2 linked regions of the Astyanax mexicanus genome follow. The protein of the gene in region 1 binds, or shares a complex with, the protein of each later gene. Links are inferred from orthologs where the notes say so. Each region holds a gene or a part of one and is shown on either strand. Other genes may lie near its edges.

Region 1 (11,054 bases):
AGATATAAATATACACTGTAGTGTAATATAACAGTGAAACAAAACAGTCAGATTATATTACAAATCCACACAATACAAGAAAAGACATCTACCGGTAATGTGTTCTTTGTTAAAAAATAACACTGATAAATACACCATTTTAAGCCATTAATTGCTGGAATTAGCTTTATATGTGGATGTGGGGTAAAGTGTTTATTACTGAAGTCTCTCATTGATTTCATTCCTGTCTGAATTCAACATGTCATTAATTTTCACAGACTGCATGCTACCACATTAGTAAATATTCTGGCCAATTTGACAGTTTTTATATAAGCCACTGAAAAACCTTTATCTATTAATTAAGTGTGAATCCACAATTCACAATGGGTAAATATTTCATCATATCCTAAGGAAATGTAATTTTTCACGTATTTAAGAAGAAATGTAATTTTACTGTGTGGCACAGTAACTTTGGGTCATTTAAGTTCATGGCAAACCCTGATTTTTCACATGCTGAACATTTAATCCCTAATGCCTTAAGTAGGGGTGTGCCATATTGTATTGTACACAATAATATCACAAAAATGTTTGACACAATAAAAAGAAACTGTATTTGTTTTGCTGTTTACTAGGGGTGTCACGATTCTCTAAATCCTCGATTCGATTTCATTTTCGATTTGAGGGTCACGATTCGATTCGATTCTCGATTTTCTTGTTTTTTTTTCTTGTTATTATTTTATGCCTCATAAAATTTAAATAATATATTTATTATTATTATTATTATTATAAATATTATAAATATTATTATTATTATTTATTAAGATATATATGGTAATGCCATCTAGTGACTTTTTTTGGTAGCAACAGTGTGCACTATTAAAACAAGCAGTTTATCAGAGCTGTGTGTGGATGGCTGGTGAAACTGCTCATTACATGAAGCTGCAGTTCTTCATCCAACCACTAGCAGCAGCAGCACAAGCCCCGCTCTCTTCACTCAGTCACTACTTCAGTACAGCCCAGCCACGGGCTACAGAGCTCAGCCAGTCCGTTTTTACTGTTTCTGTAAACAAATAAAGGTTTTAACCCCACTAACCGGATAATACAGCTCACTACAGTTCATCTTTCAGCCCAAGCAGCTAACAGCAGCAGGTTAGAACAGCCGACACGGAGGCACTGCTCGGATTACATTATAAACAGGTCAGTTAGCGCGCTGCTAACCTCAGGATGTTTATAACTACGGAGTTTAGTGGACACACCACGGCCGCCAGGTAAGTCTTTTAAAGGCTACTGAAGACTATTAAAGGCTATTAGAGTGTAACCCCTGGCTCCCAGGGGTTACAAGAGGTTATTGAAAGCATTATTGGGGGGCAGAAATCAGTACAGGCTGGTTAGATAAGTGATGTGGGTATTGTCTTATAAATATTTACACATAACTTATATCTCTCCTGAAAAGCTTTTATTTTAGTCAGAAACACGCTTGTGTTTACTTTATCTGAGAGAAAGATGTTTTTTTAATTCAATGGAAAGCAACAGGTGTAGTCAATTATAAGTTTAAGATTTTTAATCCACCTCACTGTGATCTATAGTCAGTGTTCTCAAGTCACACTGACACACGCATTTCAGCGAGTTCACACGCTCTCACCTGCGCGCACCCACCCCTCCGTTAGATACAGATACAAAACCTGCGCGCCCAACCCCCGCCCCCCCTCCCCCGTTGGACAGATAAAAACAGTGATCACACTCCCGCCGACTGCGCTCATGCAGTGGCTATCTCTATTTAAATGAATAGGATGCGCTGTGTTGGTGCCGCGCCATTTGCGTAGCGCGCTGCGCTATTTGCGTAGCGCGCGCGGGAGGGATCGTCGATCCTCTTTTTGACTTCGATACTCGAGATCGTGACCTCATTTCGATTCGATTTCGATAAAATATCGAGATCGTGACACCCCTACTGTTTACTGTATTTATTTTTTGTTTGGAGTTTACAGGAATGCACTAAATTTGCTGCACTATATACTCTTTTGCAAATTTGTGAGTCTGGAAGTTACTGTTTACGAAATAAACAAAAAAGTACAGATGTTCTGTCTTCACTGAATGTATAAAATATAGTCATACTAAAGTAAACTAAAAATAAAATAAAATAATTTATGTTTTTCATATTCTCAAGAATACTGTTTTATATATATATATATATATATATATATATATATATATATATATATATATATATATATATATATATACTGTTATATTATACCCTGAAATATTATGATATTACTTTAGGGTCATATCACCCACCCCTGTCCTTGAGCAGGTAAAGTATATACTGAATGTTAAAAGGGTGCTGTCAGATGTGCAGCATAGCCTATCCCCTCAAAAGTGTTATAAACATGTAACTTTAATTTTTCTAACCAAAATTTTGTTTTGTATAACTGTGAGTGGCTATAATATTGGTTATCATCACTGTGCTTTGTGGATGATGGAAGTGCGTAAATCAAGTAGCCACTCCCATCTAAATCATTTATGCTGAGATTTTATATCCCATGTGAATCAGTCATAAATTTTACAGACAACCTGTAGTAAAATCATATTACTTCCCTTCCTCATGAAAAACTAACCCCATCCAAAAAAAAGCTACTGACAATAAAGGTGTGCAACAAAGCACATGTAATATGTTTAACAGAATGCAACCAATCAGGTTAGTGAAGAAGAAAACATAAGGAAACACAATACAGCTTCAGAAACTCATGGGAGGACAGTAAGGGCAGCTTTACAAACTAACAGCCAAACCCAAGCCCACAGATTAGCTGAGTAATACACTTGCACACTTTTTCCACAGGTTTAATAACTATATGTGGAAATTAATCTTCTGTAAATCTCTAATCCAGTCCTCCAACAGACTGTATTATTTATTATTGTGTTTGTGATGCCTACCTCCTACAAATAAGTTCTAATAGGTATGAAAGCACTGTTTAGCCATAATATTAAAACCACCAGTGCAGCCAAGGCAGCTCTGACCCCCTGAGTCATGGACTCCACAAGACTTATGCTGCCCTGTGGTTTTTGAGACCAGGAGTAAAGTTAGCAACAGGTACTTTAACGCCCTGTGAGATGGGTTGTGAGATGGGACTTCCAAGGGTCATATCTATGACCCTTAGGCTCCCATGACCTGGTTACCGGTCCATTGGTTATCCACTGGCTGTTAGGAGTACTTTTGGTAGGTACTGATCACTGTATACAGAGAAACCCACAAGACCTGTCTGATGTTGTGTAGATGTTCTGATCCAGTTGTTTAGCCCTCACAGTCTGGCTCTTGCGAAGTGGTTCAGATGCTCATTCTCGTGCCCATGTTTCCTGCTTCCAGCACATCGACTTCAAGAATTAAATGTTCACTCGCTGCCTAATCTGTATGTTCCACCACTTGAAAGGTGGTTTTAATGTTATGGCTCACTGGTGAACAGCTTGTGGGAGAATCACAAGACCATTGTGCTGAACAGAGGAATGTTAAATGTTTATAAAAAGGAAGGAAATGACCAAGAAACTGTTTTATCCACAAGAAAATGAATCGTTCACAATGACTGTGATGTTTTAGAGAAGGGTCACTGCAACTTATTTATATGAGCTGTTATATTTAAAGTAGTATATTTGCTTAATAAAAAGCTAGATATGTTACACTTTTTACTCTATATAAGCTTAACAGCTCATTTCATGTTAGACTTAAACAATATTTAATATACTTAACTATTCAAACAAATGACCACTATCATCAGAAGTATATTAATGATTTTAAATGTAGCCAATAATTTACACAATGGGTAAATATTTCATCATATCCTAAGGAAATTTAATTTTTCACGTATTTAAGAAGAAATGTAATTTTATTGTGTGTGGCACAGTAACTTTGGGTCATTGCCAACCCCAGATTTTTCACGTTCTGAACATTTATTCCCTAATGCCTTAAGTAGGGGTGTGCCATATTGTATCGTACACAATAATATCACAAAAATGTTTGACACAATAAAAAGAAACGGTATTTGTTACGAAATAAACAAAAAATTACAGATTTTTCTGTTTTCACTGAATGTATGAAATATAGTCATACTAAATTAAACTAAAAATATATATATATATTTTTTTTATAAAAAAAGATCCCCCTGGCATTATTTGTTACAGCAACTAATTTCACAGCAAAACACAAATAGTGAATAAACAGAATAACACAAATAACACTGAGCGGATAATTAAAGGAAAATGTTCAGGGTTCTACATAAAACTATGTATAGAACCACTAGTACAGAACTATACTATTTATTTTCATTATTAATGAAGACTACATAAAGAACCATATAAAGAATTATACAGAATTCCCTTTAATGAAAAATAGGAAAAGCACTGATAATCTATTTATTTTATTTATTTTTCCTTCAAATTGTAAATGTAATATTTTAGAAATTATGATTAATAAATTAATCAGTCTTACCTTGAAGGTTCACCTTATTTTAAGTCATTTAAACTTAAAATAAGCACAAAAAGCGACCAGTCAAGTTATTCTACCTCTTGTGTCTAAATTTATACCAAAAAATCAGTGACTTTTGCTTGATTTAAGTATAAATTCACTCGTTTTGAGACTTATTTTAAGAAATCTCATTAAGAAAACAGATTTATTCTGTTTAATATAAGCTCATATGTCTCAATTTGCATATACTTTGTCTATTTTTTTTACTACTTACAAACTATTCCAGCTTAACTGTTGTGCAACAGCTCACAAAAGCAGCTAAATTAGCTAAGTATAATGGTTACAAACAGATTACAATGGCATTTAAATCGTTTATAAAAGGTAAAAAGCCATAAACAAAAGATAAACGAGTCAATAATCTAATTTTTAGCCCAAAATCAGATCCATGGCAACCGAAACTAGCGTTAGCTAAGCTAGTTAAGTAACGTAACGTAAAGTAGTAAACGCTGGGAGTTGGGCTAAGCTAATGTAAGCTAACATTGAGAGTTAACTTATATTAAAGTCTATAACAGAACTTTTAACACACAAAACACGCATTTTACACTGATTATAAACTCTGTGCTGTATTTACCTTAGTGTGAGAGCCCTGTAGAGATCTCTTCGGGCTGGTATGGGATGTAAATCCTCTGATAGAGAGAGTTAGTTAGCTAACAGAGCTAGGCTAGCTAACTCTAGCCTCCACGGCTAACAGCGCTCAGTACCCGCGGAGCTCCGCGCTCCTCCTCGCCGCCGGCTGAAGGCTGAAACCACGCCGACACCGGGTCAACCATTCCCCCGCAGTGAGAGAGCAGAGCCCGGCGGTACGTGTGGAGCTGTCACACTGCCCGAGTCTCCTCTCACAACAGATTAATCAGACCTGCCCACATCCACACACACCGCGCTCAGGAGACTCAACACCCGCCACCAACTGCGCAGAGCTGCCACAAACTGCGCAGAGCTGCCACTGACTGACTGACTGACTGACCAGCGGCGAGCAGCACGTGACAACCTGCACTCCTGCCACCTCCACCAGAGCTTTCCCTCTGTGTGACCAAAGAGTAGCATTCACAAACACCACTTTCTCTGTTTTACACACACCAGCCCTATAAAATTGATAAATTTCACATGGTTTTATAGTTTTTTAACTATTTCCTACTATGTGCAATATAATAGTTTAATTTTTACTGCTGTGGTGAGCAACTATATTCAAGAGTTTTATTGCCAGGTTTAGGTATATGAGTAAAATTAACATTGTTGTTTTATTCTATGAACTACAGACACCATTTCTTCGAAATTCCAAATAAAACATATTTTCACTTAGAGCATTTATTTGCAAAAAATAGGAAATGGCTGAAATAAAAAAATAGACGCAGAGCTTTCAGACCTCAAATAATGCAAAGAAAACAAGTTCATATTCATAAAGTTCAGAAATCAATATTTGGTGGAATAACCCTGGATTTTAATCAGTTTTCATGCATCTTGGCATGTTCTCCTCCACCAGTGTTACACACTGCTTTTGGATATCTTTATGCACACACTCCTGGTGCAAAAATTCAAGCAGTTCAGCTTGGTTTGATGGCTTGTGATCATCCATCTTCCTCTTGAGTATATTCCAGAGGTTTTCAATTTGGAAAACATAACAAGGAAAACATAATGTCTCTTTTTTTTTTTTTTTTTTACCAGAGCTGTATATATTTTAGTCTTGTCAATCAATTTAAAAATATATGTATTTGTATGTTTTAGGGGAGATAAAGCCAACGGGGGGCGCTGGAATAAAGAATGTATGATAAATTGAATAGAGGAAAGTTTTTTTACTTTATTGTAAATATCTCAGCCTGGTTGTTTAGAATTTGCTGAGTATAAAAATCTCAGGAATCTTGTAGATCAGCTAAACCATCACACTCACTAAAACATACTCTGCCCTCTTGGTCAAGAGCTAATCTGGTCAAGCAGATTAATCAGCTCGACCTATTATATTTGGCTTCGCTGTTCAGTAGGACATTTGTGCCGTCATATACAAGTACAACATATGTGATCTGACTGCAGTGCTGTTGATGGACAGAAGAGTGTGCTGTGTGCACACTGAGTTTTCCTGAAGTCCACAACAATCTCCTTTACAATGTAAAAAATAATTTAAAAAATAAAACACATTGAATGAGAAGAGGTGTGCCCAAACTTTTGACTGGTACTGTATATTTTAGTATATTTTGTTTGTATTTTTCCAAACACTTCTGTTCTGTCATCTGCACTGTTGTGACGTTGCACATTTTCCCAATGTGGGATTAATGAAGGCAGTCAGTAGTAAGGAAAGCACGACCTCTAGCGCTGAATAAATATATGACATATAATAAAAGCAGCACTATTCTCTGTATTGTGAACAGTAAGCTTTGGAAAACCAGATGCAAAATGGTAAGCAGTTAAATTAATATTCCTGCAAATGTGATTTTTATATAAATCATTTGTAAACTTAAAAGGGCAATGTACTCCAGAACAAAAAACAAATACCCCTAGACAATTTAACATTTTTAATTAGGCATTGTTTAATAATAATATTTGCATAATGCATGCATGGGCATTGAATATGTGTAGACTTGGTGTAAAAGGAAATTTCTTATAATTGCTGTGATGGAAAAATATAAATAAATTGTGATGATTCTGTAATATGCTTTGTTTGATTTAAGTTTATTAAAACATCAAAGAAAATGTTATAAAATGTACCAAATGCACTTTAAAGTGAAGATTAAAATTCCTCTATATTTGTTATATTACTATATCACTCATATCCATTCACTTGGCAACCAAAAACTCCACTAAAGCAACGCCTTAGCAATTCCCAGATACGGGTACCATAGGAACCTCTTAGCAACTGCATAGCAACCATCTTAGCAACTCCTCATCACAGCAATACTGCTGAGCATTTACAGGAACTACACTGCCTAGTTTTTATCTATTATTATGTTTATTATATTTTTTTAATCTACCAGCTACATCAAGCCTCTATACCAAAGGGGTACCAGGACAGCTGTAGACTGAAGAGCTGAGCTTGTCTTCTCCATGCATCCCTCCATGGCAGAGGAGGAGCACTCCTGCTCTGAAAACTTAATAGGAGCAAACACCAGGGCAGCCAAGCGTACATACACCTGCTGGCCTTTTCTGAAAAAAAGACGATTAGGCTATTTTTGGTATGTACTCTCCCTTTCCTACCAGTTTAGACTTGAACCTGGTTGTGCTTGTTTTGTTTGCTTAATCATACAGACCAGACATTTTAGTCTATTTACCCTTACTGCTTAGAGATATATATGCCATTCACTTACCACACATTCACACAAATAAATCCAGACTGTTCTCATACAGAGTTCCCCAATGGTGGAACAAGCTACCTGCCACCACCAGATCAGGAGAATCTCTCACTATCTTTAATAAACTCCTGAAGACAGAGCTCTTCAAAGAGCACTTACTCTCCTAACACCTCTAACTAACTACCTTCTACTACCAGATCAGGAGAATCTCTCACTATCTTTAATAAACTCCTGAAGACAGAGCTCTTCAAAAAGCACTTTCTCTCCTAACACATTTCCTGCTCCACTTGCTTTTTCCTCCTCTATTCCAATATTTCCCTTTGACCTCCTTTAGGCCCTGACTTGACCTCCTTTAGGCCCTGACTAAACTTCTACAACCTCTATTGCTAAATGTACATCATTATTTTGAGTTTTTTTGGATTAAGAGCATCTGATAAAAATGTAATGTAATGTAATGTAATGTAACTAATTAGTTAGCTAATAAACAAGTCCTTTATGAAATGGTATACTATGTTTGAAGAGAAAAAAAAACTAAAATATGCAAATAAGGGGGTTAAATCAACACCAAACTATATTGATCACTGATGTCATTTTTTTTTTGGGGCACTTTTTAGATTTTAAGTTAATAAAACTTGAATTCAGTGTTGCTGAATGGCTTTAAATGTATTGTTTGTATTACACTTTACATACCAGTCATTAAGATGGATCTATATTGTTCGTATTCTATTGTTATAGCTTGTATGGTGTTCTTGCAGTGTAGAAATTGACATTTTATATTACTACTACTTCTCATTATTATTATCATATTTTTTTATGAGCACATTTCTTCTAACAGCATTGTGAGTATACAAGAGCCCCAAGACTATAGCTAAATGTTTGAGTATTCAGCTCTGTTAGACAAAAGTATTTTCATTCCACCGTATATGGGTTTTGGGATCCAACAGCAGTATTTAAGCAGCTTTACTACACACTACAGTCATCTGTCTACACCAATTTAACTATTATTTACAGTACACATACATTTAAACATAAATAGCAGTATTGACACAGCTTTACCACAATCTAAAGTGGGAGTGATTTAACCCCTTAAAATGCATTGTCCTGTATACTGGCTACAGGTGTAGGTGATACAAAACCCTCTTTTCTGCAGTAAAATGATTTATTTACATTCTGAAAATCTGAGGGCTTTGAAATCTCCTATAAAACACATGTAGAAGCTGCCTGTTCACATTCTACTCCACTTAATAATTCCAGATCAGTAACAGGAATCAACCCAAATTCTGCAGGTTTGAAAATAGACTATAATAACTAGAATAACATAATTAAACTAAAGATTTGGAAGACATGAACTGTTTGATTTGTATTCAGAAAAATATAGATTTTAAAATGAAGATAAGTGTCACATCCTGGTCTCGTCTCGTGTCTCTGTGTGTCTTCCCCACGTGACCTATGCTCCCCTGTGTCTCCCATCTCAGTACCTTTCCACCACTTGTCTCATTTGTAGCTCCGCCCCTTCCCCAGGTGTTTCCAATTATAGTGCGTTTCCTGTTTCTTTAAATAGCCCTCCTCTGCCACTTTGTCTCTGTCGGTCTTTGCACCTTCACCTGTCATTCATCTCTCTGTGTTTTCATAACGTTTCTCAGTGTCTCTCTTGGTTCCTTGTTTCTTGTTTATAGTTTATTTCCTTGTTTATTTCTTGTTCCCTAGCTCCCTGTTTATACCCTGCTTGTGTTGATTCCTAGTTTATATATTCTTGTATATATTCCCTGTTTGTTTATTTATTATCTCTAGTTGGTTTAGTTTAGGTTCTTTGATTTGTTTTGGTTATTGGTTATTTGTGTATCTTTGTTTCATGTTACTTGTTCCTTGTTATCTTGTTATTTATTTATTAAATTATTATTTATTTTCACCCTACCTGCACTTGTGTCCGCCTCCTCGTCTTCCTGCCTGGGTCTACGTGACAATAAGAAAATAGCTCATTTTATGATTTTATTTATTATAGTTTGACATTAGCAGATTTACTTAAATATTTTTTTTATTACAATTACAATTATGCTTTTTTTGAGTAATGTTCCTTATCAAACATAACAAGCTTTTATGTAATGCTTGAATATAAATCCTCAAGATTTAGTGGTGCAATGCCAGTCAGACTAATGACAAAAATCCTGTCCTGTTAAGGGGACGTGATAGATTTAAGGTGACAGTGAATTTAAGGTAAGTAATTGGTTTAAGGTACAGTTGCATTTGGGGTAGCTCTGAATTTAAGGTAACATTTTTTTAATGTTGTTAGTTGGACACTGTTGTAGCACACAGTTTAAATGCAGTATAACAGCGTGGAACAGTGTGTATTGCCCTGAGCTGTGCTGTAGGTTTCAGACAGACTGCAGCAGACACTGATTACACTGAGATGGTGAGGAGCTTTACGCATTCTGCAGCCTGTCGTGTGTATCTGACACACTGACCTACTTTCAGTGTGGGTGCTTTATACCCGCCCATAAATTACCCTGGGGGAGGGCAGAAAGGAGGGGCAGAGGCATGTACAGGGGGTCTGTAAACTAACTACCCCACAAGCATGAAGCATGTGCAAAATAGTTTATTATAATATTTAAAACACTCTCAGCTTACACATACATGATGAATTGGTGTACGTGCCACAATGGCGACAGCAAAGCAAGAGTAAACACCGGCTGGTGTAGGGTTTTTGTTTAGGAAAAAAGGAAGGAAATGAAATGTAAATTTACAACATTTTCTTTAATATGTTTTAATAGAATATTTTACTTACATTTATTTATCTGTATATAAACATGTTGATGGAGATATATACCCATATCTGGTGCCAATAGGTTCATGTTTATCTTCTCCAGCATGAATTTAGACTCTCTTTACAGTACAGGCAAAAGTTTGGACTTAAATTGCCTTTATTTTTGTAATGTAGGTAATAAATAGACAATAACTTTTTGTTTATTGAAATAAGATGAGCAGTGGGACAGGTCAATAAAAACAGTAGATGATCATGAAAAAATGTCTTTAATATTATTCTACAATATAGGAAATAAATTAAATAAAGAAATGCATGTGTGTTTGTGTGCGTGGTGAGGATGTTTGTGTGCATTTGCACATCTCTGTCAGCGATTGGTGCCTTTTAAAGTAGCTGAGTAATGCGGCATTCATTATAAGCGGTGTCCACAGACATTTGGAGGGAACATTTGGATGTTTAGCCAAGATTGTGTCTCTATCTATTATAAGCAGCAATGTAGAGCAGTGCAGTCATTAGCATAGTATGC
Region 2 (11,439 bases), on another chromosome or scaffold:
CCTTTTTTAACCTTTTATTTTTCTCTCCTCTCACATGAGCAGACCGCATCAGGCTAGTGACGCAAACTGTTTATGTGGCTTGTCTACAGTGGTTTTGGTTGCGCTGATACACAGCCCTCTCATATATCCTATAAAGGTTTTAACTTTGTAACAAAGCGATGTTGTGTATTATGTGCTACATGTAGGAGTAGATTTTATAAAGTTAAAATCCCTGAATGTCTGAGAGTAGTATCTAAGAAAAAGTAAACAGTGATGTCCTAGAGTAATAACGTGATGTACACGGATACAGGCGTGACTTACTTCCTCAAATGACTGAACTGAGTAAGCAAGCTCTGGACAAACAAATGAGGTTTAACAGCTGTTTAACCAAGACACTTACTTAGCACTTAGATGGTGGGAACATTTCACCAGAATCTGCATGCAATGCACAGCCACAATGCCCATCACGAAGAGACTCAGAGGACCCACCTGCAGACAGTTTCACAAAGTCAGTTGTTAATGAACTGAACATATTTATAATATACCTAATATACAAGTTTCAATGAAGTGAATTCAACAATCAGTATATATATGGTTACTGTCCTGCAAGAGCGTTCATAGTTTTTTTTTTTTTTTTTTTTTCATTTTTGCTGTTTTTAAATTTTTTTTTAGATTATTTGGATCTGGCAACAACAATAATGTTATTTTTTGTGACGACAGAGTTTTAAAACACTAAAGTAATGTAATAAAACAGCATCATTAGAGCTGGATCAAAAAGAAAATCTGTTTTTCTCTAGATTAAAAAGAAAACTCATATCCTATATATAAAAAGCCTTTCTTAATCCTTTATATACTGACATGCCATAATTCATGTGATACCAGTATGTAACTTGATCATTAAGTGTTACCACAGGAGATGGTATTAATTGTTAGTGGGGTTAAATACTGGTCAGTGTGCTCATGGCAAGGTGATAGTTTGGCAGGTGATAGGTGGCATAGTTTGAGCGAGGTCTGATAGTGGGTGAGGGGAGATGGATTGGGAATACTTTATAAAGGGCATAACCACCCAAAATGGAAAGTGCATCAGATGAAAAACAAACGACTGGCAGAAATCACATCCACATTCAATGCAGGTCTCAATTCATTTTCTAGATTCCATTCCAAAAGTCGTAGGACATGAGACTAGTTTCTGTCTCATGATATGTGGCATGCCAGCGTAATTTAGCATACCTTTTGGTTGCACATTATTGACTTTTGTTCTGACTGCCTGCCCTTTATTGTTTCCATAGTATCAGTCTTTTTTTTAAGTGAGTTTTATATGATACAGGCCATTAAAGCCAAGCACACAAAATGTGTATAATGTATTTTTTAATGTAATAACTTTAAACTGATAATAGAGACCTACCACAAGCCCTGCATTCTTCACAGCAAGAGGCAAGCCTAGCAGACCAGTGCCGATGTTTCCTTTCAGTAAATGAATTAAGGTCTGAAAAAACCTGTAAACACAAGAAGCAGAGCCTGAGACCAGCAGTCTAATCAGAACAACTTCAGTCCATTCACACTAAGTTACTGTGACTGGTCTTACGAGGATCCGGTTCTGCCTCCAATTCGCTCGTACTGTCTCTGCATGCGGGACGGGGAATGGACGGGCTCTTCGTCCTCTGTTGGACTCTCCTCTGTACAGGAGAATGCAGGCCCTGAAAAAAAGTTTAAAAGACATTTTTATTCATCATTTTTCTATGTATTAACTTTAATAACTTTAATAATTGACAAACTCTTAATTAGTATTAATATTTATATTGGTGCAAATGTAAAATAAAGAAAAAAGAAAAAGAAATCCCCAATGCTCTTTATAATGAAACCAATATGGGAGAAGGAAAAATCATTCTTAGTAAGTGGATTTAATGTATTTATGTAAGCGATTTTATTGGACCGTACGTAGTAAAATGTGCATAGAACGGAAAGGGACGTTAGTGTTTTGAAAGGGTTCAAAACAAAGCATACAATAGAAATACAGTCAGCTGAAAATATAGGACCATCATAAAAACCTTAGATTTTTAAGCATATTTATTCACATGAATATTTGAGCTTTATTAAAACAGTATTGAGTATTAGTTTTTTTAGTTTTAAGCATAATTAAAAAAAAAAAACAATGCTCTCAAAGCTCCATTAAATATCCACTATGAATTATCCATTGTCTCAGAGAGTACTCAAGGACATTTTGAAATATTCCATACATACACAGCTAAGACATTTTCCCAGTCCATGTCTGAGACTGGTGGACAGATTTACGAAAAAACTGAGGTATTGAGGTAATTGTCAGCTTTTTCCAACATTAAAGGTTTTCTTACGTTTAAAAGTTTTCTTTGATTTGCTGTATAAGCTTCATCTTAGAATACTGTTCAAATGCAGCCTACGTGTCTTTTTATTACATCTCTTCATAAAGACAAACATTTGCATGGGGTGTTCCTTTTCTACATGACCATATTTTTATTGCTTGGCAAAAAAGTACCCTAAGAATATAGTCTACTGATACTTACAAGGTATAACTACAAACATATGGAATAAAAATCTTCCTCACTGCAGTACTAAAAAGAAGCACTGATACAGAGTCTAACTTAATAAAGCAAAACAGGCTGCACCACAAATGTTCTTCTAATGCATATTAAATTTGGTTACCATCCTGATAGTTGATGTCTGAATTCATGGCTGTTCCGCTCAGCTGGAAGTTTCACTGGTCCCTGCTTTTATTGTGGAGACAATTCATCCAGCCACTGTAAACCATCAAAGGCAAGCAAAACATTATTATCATCATTATTACGCTGCTGGTTCAAAGCAAACTCATTTTATTGACCTATATTTATTGAGTTTCAATATTTGCTCAAATTATCACAAAAACAATAGTTCCTGTGTGTACTAGTATATATGAAACAGTATTAGTTGTGTAGTAGTGTGCCATATTATACACATTTGTACACAAGAATATCACAAAAATGTCTGACACTATATTGTGATAATAGCAATATTCTTGAAAGCAGTACATATTATTATACAAAAGCAATATTATTTGTTTTGCTATTTACTGTATTTACTTTTAACTATGTTTTATTGCAGTTTATATACATGTACTAAACATGCTGCATTTTATGTTTCGTTTTTAGATTATTTGTTGTTCAATTGCATTATTTTTGTTACATTTTTCATTTAATATTCAAAATCTGGGTCTTGGAAAGTTACTGTTTACAAAATAGACAAATGTTTATAAATTATTTTGTTTCAAGTGAATGTATTAAACTGTTACATTTGTTTTGTTTGGTTGTGCCATATCGCCCACTCCTAGTACTAGTCCATAAAACACAGTGCTTGTATATATGAAACAGAGTGCTAGTATATGAATCACAGTGCTAGTAGGTCACATTATGCTACAAATTCCAAATGACTCTGTTAGTTATGTAAGGTTAAATTTAGCTGAGTAATTTCTTTCACACTTCTCTGAAGTCAAATCCTCTACATCAGCACTCTGCACACGGAGAAGCTATTAACTGCTGACCACTGCAAATGCCAAACATGTGATTTCACTGTTTTTACTTTGTTGTAAAGGAGTTTAAACTAAAATGAGCAATCTTTCTTTTTATAAATCTTCTGTTTTGTTGATAAGGACATAGCATGAAAAGCTAGAATAGGCGCTCAGTATCTACATTCATTGCAATGATTACAGCCACTGATTAATTCAGTCAGCTGGTGTTGTTTAGTATATAGAGTATAAAATATCAAAAAGTTCTGTTGTCCTTTTAAAATACAGCCTGTCACGATAATTACATTATCGACTTATCAAACAATAAATGGATATAACCTTAATAATTGTAATAATTGTGATATCATTCATTGTGTTTATGAGCAAACCTATTTTTGTTGGTGGAAATGCTGCGAACAGTTCAAGCTCAATCCACATTGGTGGAAGCGGTATAAGAGTGTACTGCTGCAGACAAAAAAAGTACAGTCTTCCAAACTACTATTAAGTAAATGTTTATTGTCTTTAAAATTAAATAATTTGTTTGATATGATATCATGTTGTCATTATTTTAGTGGCATTTACTGGGCTTAAATGATAAATTCTGTATGAAACAGACTTGGGGTGTGGTAAAACATGATAATAAATACAAACATTTTCTTAATATTGCACCTCCGTCCAACCCCAGCATTCCAAAATACAGCGCTTATAGCCAATGCTCCCAATACACTTACAATGAATCATGTTTCACTACACCTCAAGTCCATTTTACACCAAATTTCTCCTTTAAAATGACAATAATATTGTTCATCGCAATCATTTCTGCGACATCATATCATTCGCAAAACATTGTTGTCGTGACGTGCATTGCTATAGATTTTATGCATTGAGGTTGAAAGGCATGTGACATTGTGTAATAACAACTATTTTCATAGTTTCAGTTTAGCATATGAACAAGACTGTCTGAACTGCAGTATTCACTGAAATGAGTATTAACTACAAAAAGTAAACTATTAACAGTATTCCCTCATAGCCTTAAAGGGCTGGTTTTATTGAAAAGCATATTTAAACAAAGTCTCCTTGAATAGTGCTGATCAACAACTACTACAACTAGTTACAGCTCTGGAAAAAATTAAGAGACCACTTCAGTTTCTGAATCTGTTTTTCTTATTTAGCTATTTATAGGTATATGTAAAATTAACATTGTTGTTTTATTCTATAAACACCGGACAACATTTCTCCCAAACTCCAAATAAAAATATTGTCATTTAAAGCATTTATTTGCAGAAAATGAGAAATGGCTGAAATAACAAAAAAAAAGATGCAGAGCTTTCCAAGCAGTTCAGCTTGGTTTGATAGCTTGTGATCCTACTGATTATATTCCAGAGGTTTTCAATTTGGTAAAATCAAAGAAACTCATCATCTAAACGCATGTCTTATTTTTTCCCAGAGCTGAATATAAAGTGTAGTTCTTTAACTAGCATTTATTTGGGTTACACTGGACCTAATTTATTGGCTCTAATATTGCTTTGTCCAATGGAAAACTTACCTCAGACAACAATCATATCTTGACCATCTGGGAATGAGTTAAACTGTTCTAAACTAATTTAAGTTTATTTACTAAACTATTCACTTAAAACACAAGCACAAAAACACAAGCACAATGTACAAGGACATGTTTACTAGCCTGTAATTGGCTAATAATCTTATAGCTGGTCACTTAAGTAGCTGCATGTAACCGTAAGTCGTTAAATTTCCCATATATATATCTAATATTTCAGTGTATTTAATGTTATAAAGCAGCCCAGCTGTCTGTCACTCATTCACTCCCTGCCGCTGCAGCTGAGTCGTGGCTCCTGTAGTAAAAGGGCTTATTACTCAGTGAACTGACAGTTAGGCTGGTTAGCTACTCACCGGGAGCTCCAGAGAGCCGCTGCGGCCGCGCAGAAGCCTTATTTCACTAGCAAAGACGAATGAACAGCCACATTTTCCTTTAACAACTTAAACAGATAACAGTATTTAAAGCACGGTCCGGTTTTAAATCTCCAGCGCGGTGTGAACCCCGCCGCTGACCCGCTGTCTCACTGCTGCTGCGAGGCTTGTTGTTTCTTCTGGTGTTCAGAGCGCGCCGGTCACATGATCCTCTGATCAGCTGACGCAGCTTGAGGGAGCTTCTGTGAAAAGCCTGACCAAACTGGCACGTTTAGACTTTAATCTAATAGGATTTTGATATAACAGTAGTTCAGGAAATTAATACATCATTAGTAAAAATGAAAAATGCAATACAACAGAAAATTCCAGCATGTACAAACTAAAGTTTGAAGCTTATTTGTAATACAATGAAATTTTCTGATTCAGTTTTAATTCGTACAATTCGTATTGTATATGTAAAAAATCGAATTATTAAGATTTGATTTGGTTTGTTGCAAATGAAAAATGCATTTAAATTAGATTGCAATTCAATTCTTACATGTAGTAAAAGAACGTTTTAGTCCTCACCATAAAACACAGAAAAGACACCACACACAGAAAAGAAGAAATGTGTGAATATATTTCCTTTTTAATTGCATTTTAAATGTATTTTGTTGTTGTTGTTCATTTATTTATTTTAATGTCACTTGCAAGTTTACAAATTTATATTTTACATATATTTTTGTTCCATATGTACATACACTATTTACACTACACTAAAGCTCTATTGGCCTGTGTGTATGTATATATATAGAGCATGCCGTGAACCAGCCCTAACTGATAAACAAATCACATGTAAGATTAAATAAGAAAACGATTTAACGATTCAATTCAGTTAAAAAAAATAAAGACATATAAACATTAGTTTAGTTATCCTCGTTGTTTGATAGTATTTTTAAATTGCTTTTAGTACTTAATAATAGACAAATACAAAACTAATTTTAAGAGAGACCTATAAAGATATAGAGAAAATTTATTTAAAGAAAACCTCAGAACTTTTCCCATTATGCTCCGATTCCGCAGTGTTGTAATATGGTAATACACGCTTCAGAAAGTGGGCGGTAATTTAGTGATCATCCCTAAGTCACACGTCTTCGCTCAGCACCGAGCAGCAGAGTAGCAGAGTTCAGATAGCTCTTGGTGTTCATTTAACAGGAGGTTTCGTTTACTTAATTCTTTTGACGCTCTCAAGATCTTATCGGATCATGGCAGTAAGTGTCTTTTATCTTTGATTCCCGACTTTAGCCGATAGTTCAGGGCTTTTGCTGTCTAAAGGCCAAGGGCTCATTTTCTGGTCGTGTTTAGCTAAGTTGCTAATTTAGCCTGTTGGATTTAGTAAGTTAGGGATAGCTTGGCTGGTGCAGGGACTCGGAATTTAAACAGTCTGAGATAACGCTGTTTTTGTCCACAGACCCACGAATTCTTTGTTGATATGACCTGTGAGGGATGTTCTGGAGCAGTCACCCGGGTTCTTAAAAAAATAGGTAGGTCTACAGTGTGTATGTTGATGTTTGTATGTGCTGATGTTTGTGTGTAGTTTAGGAGTTAATTCAACTTTTCTCAGCTAGCTGAACTAACCTAGAGTAATCTAACTATTAGCTAACTAGCTATCTGGGTTAGCTGGCAAGTTACCCTAAGAGCCTAAACCCACTTTTGAATATTGATTCTAATTTCTAAATCAAATCTGATAAATTCAGTGGGCAGCTCATTTGGGTTTTTTTTGTATTGTGGGCACATATTATATGAAATATAAATATTATGGCTAAAATCCTGATGCAACCCAAATGACACCACAACATTTTAATAACCTGTATTTTAAAGTGTGTGAAATGATGTAAAATGGACATAAAATGTAATAAAACATGATCATGAGGATGAACCTTTAGCCCTATCCGGGCGGGAATAATTTCTTAGGGGGACTGCAATTGAAAAAACAGGAGGACCAGTGATTTTTTAGGCTTTCTCGGTCACATGACATTGCATTCAGTAACTCCTCCATTTCCCCTTGCTGTTGTGTTCATGTGTATTTCCTTGGATAAGTGCGTCCCCAAAGTGTAATTACGGTGCATGGCAGTGGACAAATAGCTATTTTATATATTTTTTTTAAATGCAAGGTGACAAAATGCAGAGATGTGCATTATGGATGAGACTTAAATTACCGGACGAGTTCAGTGAAAAACAATAGGTTATTCAGGCTGCAATTTTCTCATAGGACATCTGAGAAAAACACGTACATGGTCATTCCGGACGTAAATAAAATCACAGAGGACCCCCCATAAAAGAGAAAATCACCCCATGACCAACTGAGAAACTTATTATTGACAGAATTCCAAGGGCCCTGACATATAAAATGAGGCGCTGAGAATCAATAAGTCGACTGACGTGCATGAACGAATAGGTAGGATAGGGGAACAGGTTAGGCAAAATGTATTAGTGGAAATGCATAACTTCAAGTTGTTGCTGAAAGTATCTGGTGATTGTCTACATCAGACTGAAGAGCACCATAAAACAAAGGGCATAATCTTTACTGAACTACTCAGAACTACTAATCTTTTGAACTACTCAGTCACTCGTCAGTTGACTTAGCGTGACTTAATTTTAAGCCTGAAAAATTACCTGAAGGTGCACTATCAAAGTTTTCAGTGCCTTGTTTTTAATGTCAGGGCCTTTAGAATCTTACGAATGCAGTGTGGAGCTTCTTTGAGCTTGGTAATGGTGAAAAAAAAAAAAGATTTCTGGCCAGGGGAAATGCAATGCCCCTATCACTAGCATTGGAGGCCTGTTGGAAGCATCAGCTAAAAAACACTGTATTTGGTAATGCTGGGGGTAAATAGAGGTGGGTTAGTCGACAAAAGTTTGTACTCGATATTATGTTTTACTACACCCTAAATCAAGGAACTTTTTTACATATCATTAAGGGTCTGTGACATATATTACCACAGGCTCTTTTGAAGCAAAGACCCAAATTAAAACTCTTGTAAACTCTTTAAAAGCATGTAATGATATTTCAGAGCAGTGATATAGTTGACCTGTTTATTGTTTTGTTTTTGCTTTTGTTTTTTTTTGTTTTTTTTTCCATTGCTTTTTTATCATGTGTACACACTTCTTTGGTTTCATATTGTACTGCGTAGTCAGTTTCGTAACGGACTGTTTTAGGTCAAATGAGTGTGCACAGTGTGCATCACTGCTGTCTGAACTCTTTTTCTGATTGCCAAATAAACAAATTTACAGGAAAAGCAAAAATCTTCCTAATTTTCAGGAGAAGTCAATGTAAATAATTTATTTCATTTATTTTACTGATTTATTTACCCTAAATGTGAATAATAAAATGCACATTTCAATTGTGTAAGGAAAATTAAAGAATAAGAAACTGGATATACAAGGTTTTTATGAGACATTTTGACATATAATGAAGTGCCATGGTAGGGTGACAGCTGAAAGCTTACAGTTTACACAATTTTGAATGTTTAAAATGTTTACAGCCTATTCTTAATTCAACAGATGTCAAGTTTGACATTGACCTTCCTAACAAGAAGGTCTTCATCGAGTCAGACAAAGACAGTGATGTTCTTCTAGAGACGCTGAAGAAGACTGGAAAAACTGTCACTTACATCGGCACAAAATAGAGGATGCTCAGCATTTAACAGCTTTTCTACACCATGTAAGCCTGCTGCTTCTCTTTCCTAATTAATAACCACTGGTTGTTTATTTACTGACATTATGAGTATTATTAAATTGTATTAGTTTATATTTATATGCATTTTGGGTTTGGGTTTCAGTCTCCTTCATTTGTGATTCTCCATGTGACAGGTTGTAATTCCTGACAAGATTATGGATGGCTGTGTGATCACGCTCTTCAAGAATGAGGTGTGTGACTGTGGGGACCAGTGGAACAAGCTTCTAAAACCTGTCCTGATGTGCACCATGATAATCAATTCAAATGCTAATTAATGAAATATTAGTATCTAATGCAACATAGTTTTAGTACAATGGCTCCTTTTGTGGCTGCAATATAACAACTAAGTATAGACATAGTCTGCTACTGTATTGTCTGATCATGAAAAAAAGCCTGTTTTCTTGCCTGTTTGGAATTTGAAATTAATAAAATGAATACATTTAAGTATTAAACACTGTTTTAATGGAAAATTAAATTAAAGTTTATGTAACATGTTTTGTGATTAGCATATAAGCTTCAGGATCACAGCAAACCGGCTAAATTTTTTTACTTTTTTTTTAAATAGACATTTGGTTATTTTTAACCTGAAACACAACAAATAGTGCATTTGATACAAAATAGATATAAAACCATATAGAATTTCATTTACAACCTTAAATCAAAAAAGTAGAGACAGAATAGAAAATGCAAGTAAAAATGCATTATGGCATACATTTAATGTAACTAATTTAGTAATTATTTCACTTTTTTTTTTTTTTTAATGTACAACTATTCCTGCATTGCGGCCCTGCAACAAAGGTAGAAACAAATTTGAAGAGTCAAGCATTTACCACTAGTGTTGTCATTTGTTGTCACCACGCCAGCATGTGTGTTTGCATTGTCTTGTTGAAAAATCCCCATACTATGACCCTGGATTTTGGACTTGTTGCTGATAACAGTCTGGATGGTCTTTTATATCTCTGCTGTGGAGCAAAGGGCATCCTGTTATACCTTATATATTGATTAGTCTGACCACAATTCACATTTCCCCTGGGTGATGGTCCATTCCACATGCCCCCAAGCCCAGAGAATTCAACACTTCTAGACAATGTTTATGGTTGTATTTGTGAATGAAACTTTATATTGTAATGTTTGACAAATGTCTACAAAAGTAATCAATTAAACATGTGGGTCTATTAGCTATTGCTGAATGACAGTTCTTGATATAGTGCCGCCTGAGAGATTGGAGATCATAAGAGCCTTTGGCATATATCCACTGCTAATTACCAGTTCCTTAAATGGTTTAATAATAGTACAAAATATGCAAATTCCTTCCATTTGTTTTTGACTGTTTTGTTTCAATTTGTTATGACCAGGAGATCCTCTTCCAACTTTTGCTCTTCAGACTTAAGGGGATACATCTATTTGAAATTAAATAATTTTTTATTGATTTATTTTTTTTTACCCCATTATTAACCCTAAATGGCCCATGTTCCAAAGTCTCAGGTAAAAATGCAGGAATGCAATATTAACAAATAATCTTTAATATCTTTACATATGGGGTTGCATATATATATATATATAAACACACTTCAGTTTCTGTTTCTTCAGTTTCTGAATCAGTTTCTCTGATTTTGCTTTTTATAGGTATATGTTTGAGTGAAATAAACTGCTGTTGAATTTTATAAAGTACGAAAAACATTTCTCCCAAATTCCAAATAAAAACATTGTCAGTTAGAGCATTTATTTGCAGAAAATGAGAAATAACAAAAAGCTGCAGAGCTTTCAGACCTCAAATAATACACAGAAAACAAGTTTATATTCAAAGTTTTAAAAGTTCAGAAATCAATATTTGGTGAAATAACCCTGGTTAATCACAGTTTCATGCATCTTGGTATGTTCTCCTCAACCAATCTAACACACTGCTTTTGAATAAATATATGCCACTGCTGGTACAAAATTTCAAGCGGTTCAGCTTGGTTTGATGGCTTGCAATCATCTATTTTCCTCTTGATTATATTCCAGAGGTTTTCAATTTGGTAAAATCATGGAAACACTACCGTTCAAAAGTTTGGGGTCACATTGAAACGTCCTTATTTTTGAAGGAAAAGCACTGTACTTTTCAATGAAGATAACTTTAAACTAGTCCTAACAAATACACTCCTAAACAAATACACTCTGTACATTGCTAATGTGGTAAATGACTATTCTAGCTGCAAATGTCTGGTTTTGGTGCAATATCTACATAGGTGTATAGAGGCCCATTTCCAGCAACTATCACTCCAGTGTTCTAATGGTACAATGTGTTTGCTCATTGGCTCAG

Evidence for each region.
Region 2: the proteins of atp7a (region 1) and atox1 are in contact, whole or in part, in an NMR structure (PDB 2K1R), measured with the Homo sapiens proteins. The link is inferred for Astyanax mexicanus from reciprocal best matches to the Homo sapiens genes ATP7A and ATOX1. Residues at the interface, in NP_000043.4 of Homo sapiens: Cys19, Asn20, Ser21, Cys22, Trp24, Thr25, Gln29, Asp67, Asp68, Met69, Gly70, Phe71, Asp72; in NP_004036.1 of Homo sapiens: Thr11, Cys12, Gly13, Gly14, Cys15, Ala18, Arg21, Val22, Lys25, Lys57, Thr58, Gly59, Lys60.

Annotation. Positions count from the first base shown.
Region 1 is NC_064409.1:71,793,525-71,804,578, forward strand, and holds the start of atp7a (copper-transporting ATPase 1), read right to left. Parts: upstream 5,448-11,054; 5' UTR 5,064-5,447; intron 1-5,063. UniProt on the Homo sapiens protein: ATP-driven copper (Cu(+)) ion pump that plays an important role in intracellular copper ion homeostasis.
Region 2 is NC_064417.1:39,243,760-39,255,198, reverse strand, and holds atox1 (copper transport protein ATOX1), read left to right. Parts: upstream 1-6,524; 5' UTR 6,525-6,666; coding exon 6,667-6,672; intron 6,673-6,872; coding exon 6,873-6,945; intron 6,946-8,962; coding exon 8,963-9,087; 3' UTR 9,088-9,122; intron 9,123-9,271; 3' UTR 9,272-9,589; downstream 9,590-11,439. Other genes in the region: slc36a1 (proton-coupled amino acid transporter 1), read right to left, coding at 380-468, 1,385-1,475, 1,565-1,676, 2,659-2,686. UniProt on the Homo sapiens protein: Binds and deliver cytosolic copper to the copper ATPase proteins. May be important in cellular antioxidant defense.